3 linked regions of the Caenorhabditis elegans genome follow. The protein of the gene in region 2 interacts with the protein of the main gene of each other region in a pairwise test. Each region holds a gene or a part of one and is shown on either strand. Other genes may lie near its edges.

Evidence for each region.
Region 1: the proteins of cdc-37 (region 2) and C15A11.7 interact in a two-hybrid assay, tested with the Caenorhabditis elegans proteins (one large-scale study listed by BioGRID).
Region 3: the proteins of cdc-37 (region 2) and T07D10.3 interact in a two-hybrid assay, tested with the Caenorhabditis elegans proteins (one large-scale study listed by BioGRID).

What each region holds. Positions count from the first base shown.
Region 1 is NC_003279.8:7,403,367-7,409,040, forward strand, and holds C15A11.7 (sulfite exporter TauE/SafE family protein), read left to right. Parts: upstream 1-1,583; 5' UTR 1,584-1,673; coding exon 1,674-1,740; intron 1,741-1,787; coding exon 1,788-1,915; intron 1,916-1,978; coding exon 1,979-2,186; intron 2,187-2,465; coding exon 2,466-2,578; intron 2,579-2,621; coding exon 2,622-2,910; intron 2,911-2,958; coding exon 2,959-3,066; intron 3,067-4,434; coding exon 4,435-4,566; intron 4,567-4,615; coding exon 4,616-4,761; 3' UTR 4,762-5,145; downstream 5,146-5,674. Other genes in the region: col-62 (Nematode cuticle collagen N-terminal domain-containing protein), read right to left, coding at 1-784, 846-986.
Region 2 is NC_003280.10:577,573-582,395, forward strand, and holds cdc-37 (Hsp90 chaperone protein kinase-targeting subunit), read right to left. Parts: upstream 3,022-4,823; coding exon 2,930-3,021; intron 2,321-2,929; coding exon 1,933-2,320; intron 1,887-1,932; coding exon 1,278-1,886; intron 1,143-1,277; exon of another isoform or gene 1,089-1,142; intron 638-1,088; coding exon 515-637; downstream 1-514. Other genes in the region: W08F4.7 (CW domain-containing protein), read right to left, coding at 58-160; W08F4.3 (Sigma non-opioid intracellular receptor 1), read left to right, coding at 3,049-3,184, 3,246-3,367, 3,420-3,669, 4,086-4,264; fbxb-14 (F-box associated domain-containing protein), read right to left, coding at 4,539-4,823.
Region 3 is NC_003279.8:12,626,145-12,630,982, forward strand, and holds T07D10.3 (C2H2-type domain-containing protein), read right to left. Parts: upstream 2,939-4,838; 5' UTR 2,854-2,938; coding exon 2,731-2,853; intron 2,321-2,730; coding exon 2,186-2,320; intron 2,027-2,185; coding exon 1,823-2,026; intron 1,762-1,822; coding exon 1,603-1,761; intron 1,339-1,602; coding exon 1,252-1,338; intron 1,204-1,251; coding exon 1,105-1,203; intron 1,065-1,104; coding exon 912-1,064; intron 772-911; coding exon 598-771; 3' UTR 530-597; downstream 1-529.

The DNA.
Region 1 (5,674 bases), on a different chromosome or scaffold from region 2:
CAACCACACGCTTCTTTGCAACACGCTTCTTGGCAACAACACGCTTCTTTGAAGCAGCTGCACGATGACGGTTGACATTACGATGACGAAGAACAGAACTACGAGTTGGGCAAGGACAATAAGCAGCATCGGATCCTGGTGTTCCATCATTTCCTGGTGCTCCTGGCTGTCCATCTTGTCCTGGATGTCCTGGTTGTCCATTTGGTCCTGCTGGCCCTGGTGGTCCAGCTGGTCCTGGAGCATTCCCGCTTCCTGGTTGACCTGGGGCTCCTGGTGGTCCTTGTGATCCTGGTGCACCCGATGGTCCTGGAAGACCGCGTCCACGTTGTCCAGATTTTCCTGGGCTACCAGGATTTCCTGGAGCTCCGGCCTGTCCTGGTGATCCAGCACTTCCAGCTGGCCCTGGAGGTCCTGGTGGTCCCTGACCTCCACCTTGTGCTGGGGCTCCTGGATTTCCATTTGGTCCCTTTGGTCCAGGTTGTCCTGGAGCTCCAGCTGGTCCTGGAAGTCCTTGTGGACATTTGATGCATTCTTGTTTCTGATGATGAGATGGCCCAGCAACACCAGGCTGTCCTGGTTTTCCAGCTTGTCCTGGTTGTCCATCATGCCCCTTATCTCCTGATGCTCCTGGTGGTCCTGGTGGTCCAGCTGGACAATTGGATGCTTGTTGACCACAATTGCATTGAGATTGCTTCTTTTGACGACGACGACCAAAGACGCTACGAGCCATACGGACAGAATCATCCTGGTTTATCATTGAGTTCCAAGCATCATTGGCAAAGCCCTTCAAAATTCAATTAAGCAAAATGTATTTTTTTCAAACTTTAATTTAATAAAAAACTAACCTTGAACTCTCCCAATTCGCGATGACTGTCTTCAACAAACGAATTAATGTCGGAATAAATATGGAAGACAGAGATCAATGCTCCAAATACCACAATTCCGGATAAACCGGCCATAACCGAAAGAAACATTGCTGAAGACATTCTACCAGGTGAATGACTGTGTTCCAACAATTTTCAGTCACTCCTTTTAAAGCAATAGCCATCACTTGAACTGTTCAGATTAGGTTCACAGTGTAAAGTTTCGAAAAAAGGACAAGAAGAGAATGGGTTCCAGAGAAGTTTGCTGTAATCTGTTGACTTCTTTGTGGCGATGTTCATTAAAAAATATTATACGTTCCCGAAGAGACGCAAGTCATTTTTAAGATTGACTGGCCAATTCAATTTTCTTCTCTTTCAGTTTAATTTAAAATGTATCATATTAAGGAAGCTTTGCAAAAATTTCGGCAACAACAAAATTTTCCAAACTTGTATCTAATTGACACAACTTCGAATACTAGAAAAAAAAACTGTATGTACACTTTTGTCAAGTATTGGTATGTTCAAATTTGTGTCAAAGATCACCCAATCGAATACATCAAATCATTCTGACCGTGTTATCAATCTATGAATAGATGATCGACTTTTGATTTTTAAAAACAATCTCCATCTTACCATCTTATCTTCAGAATGATCTCGTGACGTCATCCCTTTCCGTACTCTCCCTGAACTTTGTATTCAGAAGCTGTATTATACTGCTCATCCCGCCTTTTTGTTCGTCAAACTGGTTAGCAGTCTGGCACACCTTTTCGACAATTTATATCAGAAAAATGAGGAAAATTGAGCTCAGACATGACGGAGCTATTGAAAGATGAACCGACAAGAGTTGGGTCTTGGTGTAAAAAGTATCTTCTTGAAGGTATGGTTTTTTTTCTCGTTTCACTTGTTTTAATTATAGTTATTCAGGTCAACAACTTGACGAGAAACATGCTGAAAAGATTACAAACTTTCCTGTTAATCCAACATTTGCTGATTACATTCTTATCAAGTATCGAAAGTTTGTCGCTGTGTTGATACCGTTTGTTTTCATTCATGTAAGTTTTTTCTCTTCCTCTCTCTTCTCTCAGTTGCCATTAAAGTATTTAAAAAATTTCCAGACATTTTGGTGGGCGACAGCCATCAAGCATGACTTTTTCCATTACTACCCAGAATATTGGCATATGCCTGTTACAATGGTTGTTGGAGCACTCATATCTGGAATGACTGCTGAAGGAGCTGGAGCTGTTGCTTTTCCCGTTATGACTTTAGTTCTTCATTTAGCACCGTCGATTGCTAGAGATTTTGCACTTATGATCCAGTCAATTGGTATGTTCTTGTTTAATTTTGGAATATTTAAGTTTGGCTCTGATAAAGAGCAGTTACAAAACGGTGAAGAAAAAATTGAAATAGTCAAGAAGTGTAGTCTAACATTTATTTTTAATTTCTCAAGCAATAATAACAAGTCTGAAAACTTTTTTGGGAGAAAAGTGAAAAAAAATTTTTATAGAAAAATAGAAAAATAGAAATAGAGAAAAATAATTTAACTACTTTGAAAATGTATAGTAAGTTAGAAATGTTATTCAATAAATCCTCTACAATTTACAGGTATGATGGCTGCATTCGTCTGTGTAATATTTATGAAAGTAAAGTTTGATGAACGATCAGTTATATTTGGCATCGCAGGAGCCATACCAGGTTTCATTTTCGGAGTCCATTGCGTAATTTTTGAATCTTGAACCTCTTGCTGATTTCGAATTACAGATTGATCCTCTCTTCACCGGAGCTCAAAAGAAAATGCTCTTTGTTTCTATTTGGACATCATTTGCATTTGCTCTCGGAATTTTGAATGCTCAGAAAAAGCGACCGACATTTGTTAAAATTCCTGAATTTTGTTTCTGGAAAGGTCTGCTTCTGTTTCTAACAGGTGTTGTTGGAGGAATTTTTGATGCATTTGCTGGAAGTGGAATTGATATTTGTATGTTTTCAACGCTAACCCTTTTGTTCCGGGTTAGTGAGAAGACAGCGACACCTACAACAATGATATTAAAAGGTACACATCCATCATTCTTCATTTGATTATGGAATCTTATTTTGACAGGTGTTGTATCAATGTTCGGGTTTTACTACAGAGCTGTTCAAATGGGTGATATATCGGAAATTGCATGGAAATATTTTACATGCACAATACCAGTTGTTGCGACAATGGGTTCGTTTTGAAATTGTTCGAAAAACTTCAAACATCTTATTGAATTCTGTAAAATCTGCGTAGAAATCTGGCTACTCGGTACTGATAGAACAAACCTAACATATCTTGAAGTTTATAGTTGTAACCAGCTGAAACTTGCTGGTCACTTTTTATATCGCAAACCCTAAAAAACAATCAGCAGACTTCAGATATAACAGACATTTTTCTAAAGTAATCTTCCATTTTTCTCTGTAGATATATGTTGAAAAATGCAGTGAAATATTCAATATAGACTTTGCTCGACGTTTCTTAGCTACCTCTTACCCGGGGTTTGCCCAAGTTTCACGCATCTAACGTCAACGTTTTTTAACGCAAACTCCCTCATCCGGGTCTTTTCAAAGTAATTTTTTATTCATATTTTCTCACTTAAAAATTTTTTAATCCTTTAATCCTTTTTTTGACCATAGTCAGTTTTTGAGCAACTTCCCAAAACGTTCATTTCAAAACAAAACTAATTTCTAAAAGTACAAATAATTTTCTACTTTTCTATGTAAATCGCAGAGAAAAAACTTCGGCACAACATGAAGAAAAATGGGATTCTGTAAAGGTGTCGAAAAAATGTTCCTCACAAATCTGTTGTCTAAACACGACAAAAGCAATAAAAACAAAGTTAGATAGACAGTATTGTATAAATGTTTTTCATATTTTTCACGTGAATAAATAAAAAAATCAGTAATTTCAGCAAAGTTCCATACTATTTTCTGAAAATTTTGATTTTTCCCCATAACATCGTTTATTTTTAACATTTTCTCTTCAAATTTTGATAAATAGTCATACTTTTCAGTCCTCTATCAGATTCCAAAAAAATTTTTCAAAAATGTTGGCTCATCTCCAAAATCGTCCTCCGCTCTGAAAAACGAAAGTGGACCTTCGCCTTCCGAAAAATGGGCGAAAAAATGAAATTGCGATTTTTGGTTCGAAAAAAATATTTTTAGAATGCTGAGAACACGTTAAACACGAATATCATAATTATTTTGAGATCCGGATGTTCTGAAAATGTCTAACATAGATTTAAAAAAGCATGCATTTATTTTCATTTTCAACGTGAAAGTTTTGTGCAGCTTTTAGATTCCAAAAGAATCTCAAAGTTTAGAGATTAATTAGAGATTATTTTTCAGAAAGTTTATATAGAAAGATAAAGAAATATTTGTACTTTCTGAAAATAACTACACGATCAATTGAAAGTTTTCATAATTTGCTCAAAAACTGACTTAAACGAAGTAAAATATCCAGTCTAGACGCGAAGTAACTTCCATTCGGCTGCAGATGTTCATTTAAACTTTAAATTGTTTCGAGGCTAATAGTTTTCACATTATTATTAATTTTCAGCTCCCATTGGCTCATTTCTGGGATCTCATCTTCATCGTCAAGTAATTGCAGCTTTGATTTACATTCTTGAAGCAGCTTCGCTTGTTGGATTCTTATTGACCAAACCAACATGGTTTCTTATCATCATGTCAGGTATTCGTATCCGAAAGTTATAACCATGCCACTATTTACAATACTTTAGTTGTCATAATTGGCTGTGGATTTGTCTTTTTCTCAGTAATGGCAAAAACTGGAGAAGTTCTAATGAGATACATTGATTCGAATCAAGTGGAAGATGATGAGGAGAAGACGGAAATCGAAACAGAGATGGAAGTTCGATTTACATGACAATATGAACAATTAATAAGATTTGTTTTGTATTCAATGTTGAAAAAAATCAATAAAGTTCAAAGCGAACCGTTTGAGTAGGAATGGATATTGCGTAAACGACTTGTGAATGTAATCATTTAAATACTGACTTCGAATCTGGGAATCATAATTAAATTTCTTCACTACTGCTGCTATACAAATGTCCAGCTCCACCTCCCCTTTTCTCTTTTGTTTTGTCACCATCCATCATTTGTCACCATTTTCCGAATATCTTTACATGAATCCACATTTCCGTTTTCTATGACACTCGTAGCACAAAAACGTCCAAAAAAAAAGTCCGAATGACCTCGTTTTTGTTCCATTTATTTGCTGATTTTTCACAATTCCCCAGATGATTTTTTTGACGTTCTTTACTGCTTGACTTCGGGTTGGGACACAGCAAAAAATCGAGAAAAATGGACGCAAAAGACAAAAGAAACGTTTGTTTCTTGTTTCCTGCTTTTTAAATACAACACTTTTTTGCTCTTTTAGACCTAGTTGACTGGTAGAAAACGTATAAAAGTCAACTTGAATCTTAAAAAATTAATGATTCCGACATATGCCGTCCTTTCATGAAAAGTTGTTTGTTCTAATCGTTATTTTCATTGGAAACAATGAACCAAAAAAGAGTAGATTTTTAATTGATCAGTAACTTTTTACTCAATGCATAGGGCGGCAAACTTTTTACAGCAAAATTCCGTAAATTCTAATAAATCGAGGTTCCCGATCGTGGGGGTTTTGCAAACATATTTTGCAATATGAGTACCGAAAAACCATCAAAATAGTTTGATTTGAACCTTGATTTGAGCTTGCAAAATTTGGATACAGTTTTGACACATACCGCCTGGGTTAATCCTATTTGTTTCCCCCGTCATCTATAACCCCGATTTGC
Region 2 (4,823 bases):
GGGTCTGCTAAATCAAAATTTGAAGTTTGTAGGCTAGCAGACCCATCCTAGACTCACTTCCATACAAGCTCAATTGTGCCAAGGAAAATGGGACAAAAACTAGTAGAATAAGCCGCGAATTTACCATTTTCAGCCAAAAAATGACCGATAATACATCCATTATTGAACTTTATAGTTGTCAGGCGGAGACTAACGTTTGCTTACAAAACATCACTTTCAAAAAATCGTGAGAAAAAAAAACGAATAAACACAATAAGAAGAAAGTTGATGATGATAATCTTTATGCTATTCCGAATTGGAATTTTTGAATACGAAGTGGAACGATTCTCGAAGCAAAAAAAAACTTTTTTACAGGTGTTCGAGAGGGAAAATAAACAGTAAATGTCGTGGGGGGTGTAGAATAAATAAAGAAATAATTGGGCCATTTTCAGTGAATCTTGGGGAAAAAGTAAAGTGCGGTGCAGAAAAAACAAGTAGATCAGGGGAACTTTCAAACGGGGAATAATGGGGAAATTTAGGAGCTGGTTGTTGGCTCTTCCTCGGCTGGAGCAGCTTCCTCATCGTCGTCGTCGTCGTCAGCTTTTCCGGGCACCCAGAGTCCAGAGGCGATGCATCGATCGAAATGGTACTTGAAGACCTGAAAATTTGGATTTTTGGATGTTGAAATTAGATGAATTTGGCTAAAAATAATAGCCTACAAACTACTAATTTCGATTTAGCAGACCATAGGTGGTTTTGAAGAAATTTGGTCTGCTAGACTACAAACTACAAAACTCGATTTAGCAGACCAAAATTAAAAAATGCCTGTTTTCAGCTTAAAATTTTGATTTTTGATTCGTTTTTTTTTGGAATACAATGTTAATTCACTCAAAAATTTGAAAATAGATCAATTTTCCCCCGAAAGTTCAGATTTTTTCAGGATTTTATATTAAAATACGCACTTTTGTCTTAAAACACAAAAATCGCACAATTTTCCACTAAAAATCGCAAAAAACCTGAATTTTTGCTAATTTCTATTTGAAAAATATTCATTTTTCCGCTGAAAAATTGAAAATTTATCAATTTTTGCAATTTTCATTGCGAAAATTGAAAACTTTGGGTCTGCTAGTCTACAAACTACACATTTCGATTTAGCAGACCAATGCCATTTTGAAGAACCTTGGTCTGCTAGACTACAAACTACAAATTCCGATTTAGCAGACCAATGCCATTTGGAAGAAACTTGGTCTGCTAGACTACAAACTACAAATTTCAATTTAGCAGACCCAAATATTCACCTCTTCATCCATTTTCTGGGCGACACCCTTCAACGCCTCGATATCATGTGCCTCAAAGCACTTTCTCATCTCCTCCGGCAGCTGCTCGAACACTTCCTGTGGATCGATTCCTCCCGGAGCACTCTTCATTCGTTCGGCTTTCTCCTCGGCTTCAGCCTCCTCCATCGCGGCGTCTCTCTTCGTCTGCGCACGTGTTCTGAGACGATCCTCGAACGCCTTCACCTCATCCTGATAGTGCTTCATGTAGACCGGCTCGGCGGCTTCGAACTTCTTGAAGAATTGCTTCTGGACGGTGGTATTCGTGGCGACTGCGTTCAGCGATTTCGAGAGCTCCAGAAGATATTGAATGATGATGCATTGCTCAGCCATCGTCTTCATTTTCTCCTCATTAAAATCGATGGCGGCGTTGAGAGCCTCAATTGTGAGCCAATTTGCAGTGTACTCCGACGCCATATGCGGATGCTCGGCCAGGAACAGCTCCGTCGACTTGGCTCCGTTCTTGAGCACGGCCATCTTCTCCAGAAGGCTCTCGTGAGTCTCGAAGAAAGTGCTCATCGCATGAGTGTCCTCCTCATCGGTTTTGGGAGCTTGCGGCTTCTTCTCGGTGATCTGAAATTACAGAATTAATCAATTTGCACAGAAAAATCTTCAAAACCTTATTGATCCTCGACGTGCTGAACGCCTCATGACCGATCGTGTCGACGTTCCATGGCTCCAGACGCTCTTTCTCCTCGAGTTCGGCCTCCTTCTTGCGCCAGGCTTCTTCTTGCGCCTTCACCTCGTCGATTTGCTTCTGAATATCCGACTTGTCAGTGACATCGGCTGCGGCAAGCTTCTTCTCGAGCTCCTCCATCTTCTTGCTCGTCGTGCCCTTTTCCTTATCGATTTTCTCCTGTTCCATCTTCTTCTCGGCCATTCGCTCCAAACGAGCTTGATGGCGCCATCTGAAGAGCGACGGAGTGTCAATGTTCGGGTGAGTGTCGTCCTCGTCGTCGGAAACCTCGATATCCTTCCATTTGGAGTAGTCGATTGGCATTTTTGAGCTGAAAATCGAGAAAATTGAGTGGAAAATAAGGAATTAGCAGGAAAAGCGAGAGAAAACTGATAATCGCTGGAAAATTCCGACTCGGTTGCCACGACAACGAGGATAATCCGCGTGAAATTACGAAAACAGAAATTTCATGAAGAAAACGTGGCATTATAATGATGTTTCAAAGGATTTACGTGGAATTAACTATTTGCTGAGCAATTTTCGAGAAATTTCTTCAAAATTTCTCAAATAGAAATACTACGTTTTCTAGCGGATTTCGGCCTTTTTTTTGGCCCAAAACTCCGACAAATTGATTTTTAAAAGCCTGTAGAATTAAATTTAGACTTCTAAAAGTGGAAAAAATCGAAGGAAACCCCGAAAATAACATGAGAAAGGCGAAAAATGACTTTTGTTTTTCTTCTCGGTCCTTCTGTGGCAATGCGCGTCAGATATGGTGTTTTCTGTGTGCTTCTGCGTCACGGTGTTTGCACACAATTCCTTTTTCGCTGATTTTTTTAATTTTCAGCGCGCTGCAGCGCCATTTCTTGCATTTTTCAAGCATTTCCATTGATTTTTCCGCGAAAAAACATCTGAAATTTCAAAAAATCAATGTTAAACTCACAATTTTTCTTCTTCGCACTCGCTGTCCCTCTTGAAAACTCGCGAAATGACTGTATTTCCTTTTTTTTTCACGCAAAATTTCCAAATTTCCATGTTTTCAGGGTAGTTCAACACGTGAAAATGGCTCTTCTCACCTCAAAGCTTCGGTATCTTCTGCTCTTCTACGCAGTCTTCCAGGCTGCTCAATTTGGCCTCCGCTGGAAGTCTTATGACATCTCGCCGAAGCAGTTCAAGACTATCGCTGGAAAGGCTGCTGGTGAGGAAAAACATATTTTTCTGCGAAAATACCGCAATTTTAATATATTGTATATTTTCAGCTGCTCCAACAATCTCCCAGTCAATTTCCACATTGACGTCTGGAATGCGCACTTATTACGAGCCAATCATGCCAAGTCACTTCGAATGGCACGCTATTCAGTTGGGAGGCCTCACTTTAAGGGTGAGGAACAGGAAAAATCGAAAAAAAATCTTAAATTTAATGAATTTTCCAGATGTACCCAATGCTGACCGCTTTCACCGAGTTCGCCGCCGCCTTCTCCGCTCCGTTCCCAACTTCAGGACGCCCGGGGCTCCATTGGGCAAATACGACGTGCACCGTGTTGAAAGGAAAAGTCAGCCGATTCAATGACGGAACTCAGGACGAGACGTCGGAGAACTTTGCTTCGGGAGCCGCTTTCAGGCACGGACAGTTCGAGTCCCACGTGTACAGCTTCGAGAAGGACACCTACGTCGCGTGCTACGGTAAATTACACCGAAAATCAAGGAAAATTCGTTTTTTTTTGAGTCTGGCAGACCAATTTCGAATTAAAATCACCTGGGTCTGCTAAATATAATTTTGTAGTTTGTAGTCTAGCAGACCAATTTCGAAATCAAATCACTTGGTCTGCTAAATATAATTTTGTAGTTTGTAGTCTAGCAGACCAATTTCGAACTGAAATCGCATGGTCTGCTAAATACAGTTTTGTAGTTTGTAGTCTAGCAGACCAATTTCGAATTGAAATCACTTGGGTCTGCTAAATATAATTTTGTAGTTTGTAGTCTAGCAGACCAATTTCGAACTGAAATCGCTTGGTCTGCTAAATATAATTTTGTAGTTTGTAGTCAACCAGACCCATATAAAAATCCCCTCGTTTCTAATGAATTTTTATATTTTTCAGGTCGCGGCTTCCTCCCACTCTCCTCCACCGTCCACGTCACCTCTGGAATCTCACTCGGCGAGCCACTCTCGGTCATTCAATTCTACATGAAGCAGGCCTACAACTACTGGAACAACCTGAGCCACACCCTCTATCGTGTCTTCCAGCACTACAAGGCCCGCGCCACTGGAGAACTTTAAATAATTTATGTGATTCCCCATCCGGTGCATTTCTACAAGCATTCTAACCCGAAATTTTCATTTATTCAGTCATGTTTTATCCCAATGTCCCCCCTCTACTTCCATTTTTACGGTTGTGTAATTCGATTTCTTGAGCCATTTTATTGCATAATTTAAAATACAAGAACATATTTATTTCATCACCTCAACCATTTAACCATATAGCTCAACCGAAAAAAATAATTGCACAGGTATTTGAAGGCATTTGCAGTGAAAGATGATCAAAAGTCGCTGCTTACTCATCGTCGGCCAGCCGGACGAATCGAACAGTAGTTCTGGTGAGGGAAACCTTTGCCTTGATCCCTCTTTTGCACACAATTTGGACGTGTTGAACCATTCCATCATCCACGACCAGAGGATCTTCGTATCTAGTAAAGTCTATTCCGCGGAGAATAGTTCCATGTACAGGATGCTCAATATTCAGACCATCTACAACAAGATCACTGATTCTCAGCTGTGAGTTCTGAATCCAGATCTTCAAGAACAAGTTGACATCCTTTGCAGTCATTGAGTGGTGCAA
Region 3 (4,838 bases), on a different chromosome or scaffold from region 2:
GTGGTCCATAGAAATGTGGTCTACGAGAATGGCGGGAGTTCAGATGCGGCGGACTTTTCAACTAATTTCGCATGTTTGAGAGTACACACAACTAAATCTGATTAAATCTGATGATCACATTTTTGTAGTTCCGCCGGGTCTTCTTATAATATACAGGTAATTTTGCTAAGAATCTTAGTTCTATGTACCCCTCCAGCCATTCGTAACGTCGATCTAGTATTAATGGGGCATATCGTGCAGTGACTCGGTTCTGGTAACATGACCGGCTCTGATTGTCACGCGATCAGGAGCCTAGAAGTTTAATGCAAGTTTCAGGTAATTTAACTAGATGTTCCGGCCACACCGCCGGATTCAAGTGTCACGCGATCTGAAAGTTCCTTATAGGTTTTTTGTGCAAAAAGTTAAGCAGAAGCTTGTCACGCAAGTTGGGTTTTTGGCAGTTTTTCTGGAAAATTTAAAATGTGAACTTTTACTTGGCCGGAGTAAAATTAGGATAACTGGATTGAATATGGTTCAAGCCCTAAAAGTGTATAGTTATGGTCTTTATGTAGTTGAAAAGGTATAAATATCATTAAAACAAGCAAGTTTATCAACTTCCTACATAATCTTCCAAAAGTAGTCCACTACTTCCAATAAGAGCTTGGCCATCTGTCGTGGCGTAAACGAGGAATGTTTCAGTGGGCTTGTTCGCTGATAATTTGTGAATTTCTCGTTGATAAGACGTTGATTCACATCAATGATCACCACAATTATGGATCGGTAGATATTGCACTGAAATTTTGAATATTTAGGAAAAAAAAACAAAAAAATTGCTTCAGTGGGGACTAGAACCCTTTTTATTTTTTTAACCAAAAATGGTACTTTAATAAAATTTTAATAATTTTTAGACCATTTTCTACCCAAATACCCACCACATCTTCGGGCATATTATTGAACGGAGCCTCTCGCTCCACATGCTCCATGGCTTCACGTAAAACTGGCAGGTTTCGTAAAAGCACGTCACGTTGGTAATAGCAATACTTGAATTGGTGACCACATTTGCAAGCAATCACTTGTACAAAAAACTGAAGGAAAAAAATTGGAAAAAATTGGAAAAAAACCAACCTTTCTATCAAAAAATTCACAATTCTGGCTTGCCACGTGGCTCTGAAACCCCTTGTTGTCCCGAAATCGGCGTTGACATGTGGTACACACATATAAGCCCTGAAATTTAACAAAAATAAAGGAAAAACTCTGAAAAAAGAGCCCAACATATGCTCGTTCCTCCTGCTTCTCCTGGTAGCGCAAAAAGTACTTGTAGTTGAGAAGTAGGTGCCTGGAGTCTAGGAATAGGTGTTTCTGAAAACTTGATTTTTAAAAATAAAATAAATTGAATTTTTTGGAGTATTTTGAGTCAAAAAAAAACTAGAAAAAAGCTTACAAATTAGATGAGTTATGGAAGTTTGAAACTTTTCAAACAAGAATTCTGAGAAAATTTTGGGTCTCACGAAAACTTATTTCCTAACAAGTTTCTTCAGAAAATTTTCAGGCTAAAAAGCTTTAAATTTTTCAGATTCCCAGCTTTTCCAAATTTTAAAATACAAATTCCCAATGAAAACTCACATAATGCTGCTCAAAAAAGTGTCGGATACACTTCTCATTAGTTTCAAAAATGTACTTGCACACCGGATCCGGGCACATATGATCCCGGCCGTGTAAATGTGCCACGTACTCGTTACGTGACGACCAAGTACGATTGCAACAGTTGCAGATGTAAACTGGCTGAAATTTGGAGCAAAAATTTTTTCCTTGATTTATTTTTTCTAAATAAAAATTTCCCAACCTTCAAAAAATGTTTCTGCTGATCCCAAGCTTCTGTTTCAACAGATCCAGTTCCTTGTAAATGCTCCAAAGCAGTCTTATAGTCTGAAAACCGTACTCCACAGCAAAATAGTTGGCAGGATTGGTGCTCCAGGAGGTAATGGAATCTCGCATCAATGAGGTCCAAAAATAGTAGGCTACACGTGGAAAATGGACAGGGAATTACCTGAAAATCAAGAAAATTGCAAACAAATTTTCAAAATATCCAAGTGGCGCAGTGAGATTTTGGACAGCATATTAATCTCAACACCGTGGTTCGAATCCACCTAATGACATCACTAGTTTTACTAGATTTTATAAGTTTAACAAAAACATTTGAACGCACAAATTCAAAATCTGGTAGCTGAATCTGAAATTTTCCATCTAGAAATCCGTTATATGCATCCATATGGACAAATTGGTGCCATAGACGGGAGAGCTCCGAGCTGAGTATTTGGTGGCATTTCGGGCAAGTTTCACGCTGGAAAAAACGTTTTAAAAGTTAGGAGTTTGTCTACAATACCCCTAGAGTCATCCTACAGTACCGCTACAATTATCCTACAGTAACCCTACAGTAACCCTACAGTAATTTCACAGTACTCTCACTATCCCGCTGAGCATTTCTGCAGTAGCTTACCGTAACCCTACAAAACCCCTACACAAGAATCACAGACCTACTACGGTATTGCAACAGTACCTATACAGTATCCCTACAGTAGCCTTAAACTACCTCTACAGCATCCCTACATCTGGCTCACAGTATCCCAGAGTAGCCTTTAGTGTCTCTACATTATTCCTACACTACCATCACACTACCTCTACAGTACCCCTACAGTACCCCTACTATAACCCCAAAACACTTCTAGAGTACCTCTAAAGTACCCCTAGTACCTGTCTCAACGGCTCGACAACTACCGTATCCTCTGCCCTTATAACCACCAACTCGAAGCGCTTCTCCTCGAATTGTGTCATCTGCATTCGGTTGAACACCTCCTGTTCGGTGGCGTCATCCATTTTTGCGGGGGAAAATTTCGGTAGCTTTCGAGAAATGGTGAACTTATCTTGCAGTTTCATCTAATTGGAAAGTCACACTTTTCTTCGGAAAAAATATTATTGAAAGAAAATTAAGATTAAAAATTCCAGATAAGATGTTTGTTTCGCAGGAATTGGAATAGATTTTTCACAGAAAAAGTTGAGTTTCAGTACAGTTTAAACTCCTCCCTGTCGAGGTGCACTTTTTTCAAAAATAAAGTTTTGGAATGAATTAAACTGAAAATATTTATTCAACGAATGAAATACAAGGGTAGCATGATCTTTAAAAAGTTCTATGGTCTATAGATAACAGAAGTAAACTTTGCCGTGAAACCTGGGAAAGTGGTTCTCTCATCTGACGTGAACGTTACAAGCATGTTATTTCCAGTTGATGTATATGAAAACGGAGCTCTTATAGTACCACTGAGACGTCCCAAAACTGGACTGTTTATCGTTTCACCATCGTAGACGATCACCATATCATTGTTCAATTCAACGATGAAAAATTAAATTGTAGAAAAACCCTGTTTGGCCCCAATGTGGAAAGCTGATAAGTACATCTCTCATTGTTGAAGTAGTTTTCTGGATAATTCGGAGTGGTGATAACTGCATTATCCATTAGTCGCCCTGCGTTGCAGTTTGATGAGTTTGAAGAAATTGGTGTCACAGATGTTGGTGGTACAGTTGGGCACTGCACACCAGCCTCACGCTTGCACACGTACTTCCTATTGTCGATACAGTTGTCACTGTACCATAAGCCGGTCGGAGAACCGTTAAACACCGACATTTTCAAACAATAATCTATTCGAGGAGATGTTGGATCAATTTTACTGTAGTCCCACGCAGAACCATCTACCCAGTTGAGACTTGAGTTATGATTCCATATCGCTCCAATATAGTGAAAACCTTCTGGCGCAAAGGTGGTGATATATTGAGCTTCATTTGAAGAATGTATTGACACAAGGCTTCCACAGCTTTTTGCGCAAATTCCCTGTGCAGTAGTAAATGGTGCATCAGCCGTGCTGAATGTGTAGCAGTACCCGTTGTAGTTGTAAGTGCAGCTATCTGGAAGTTCTGGACATTCACAAGACACGTTATCATGATACCTGCAATCGTTGTTGGTAGTTCACAAATATAAGCTACACGCTGGCTTTCACAATCCTCGCTGAGCCATTTGCCAGTTAGTGCTCCCTGCGTAGAATAATAAACACATTGCCCAAGTTCGACAATTGGAAAACCTAAAACACTGAATAGTTGTTTTTTTTTCTCAAATCAAATAAATAAAACCAAACCACTGGAAAAGTTGTTGTATCTTTGTGCCGATTCAGATCCATCATCCCATAAACACTGCGAAGGATCACTTTCAAAACAAGATAATCCAATCCATATTAATGTAGAACTTCCAGATCCCGCAATAGTCGCAATTGCTTGATTATCCTGTAACCTCGACTTTGGAAAATCATAAAATTGTGGGCAAATTGTACTTACGCGATAATCTTTGACCTGAACAAGTGTTGCTCCAAAGCTACTACAAGATCTTTCAGCAGTTCTATGATTGACTGGAGTATTGAAAAGTTTCAAGCACTTGTTGTTAATTAGTGTGAACCCATTTGTGCAAATTGGGGATGAAGTAACACAATTTGCAAGATAAAGAGTCAAAATTAGCAGAGCGGAAATTGTTTGCATGGTGGGAAAAGGGGTATGATTCTTATCAAAAGTCATAAAGTAGTTTCGAGGCGGTCTTTGGAAGCCACTCGGTGCATATTGAATCATGATAAGAATTTTCAACTGGTGAACCATTAATAAACAAAATGATGTGAAAGGCTAAAAATCATGTTAATATAAAATTATCAGAATGGTTTGTTCAACTTCTAACTAATATACTGTTTTTTTTAATCAACTAAACGCCGATAGCACGGATTGTGAGAAGACGCTTACCGAGTTATTGAATACTCGGTCACATTCTA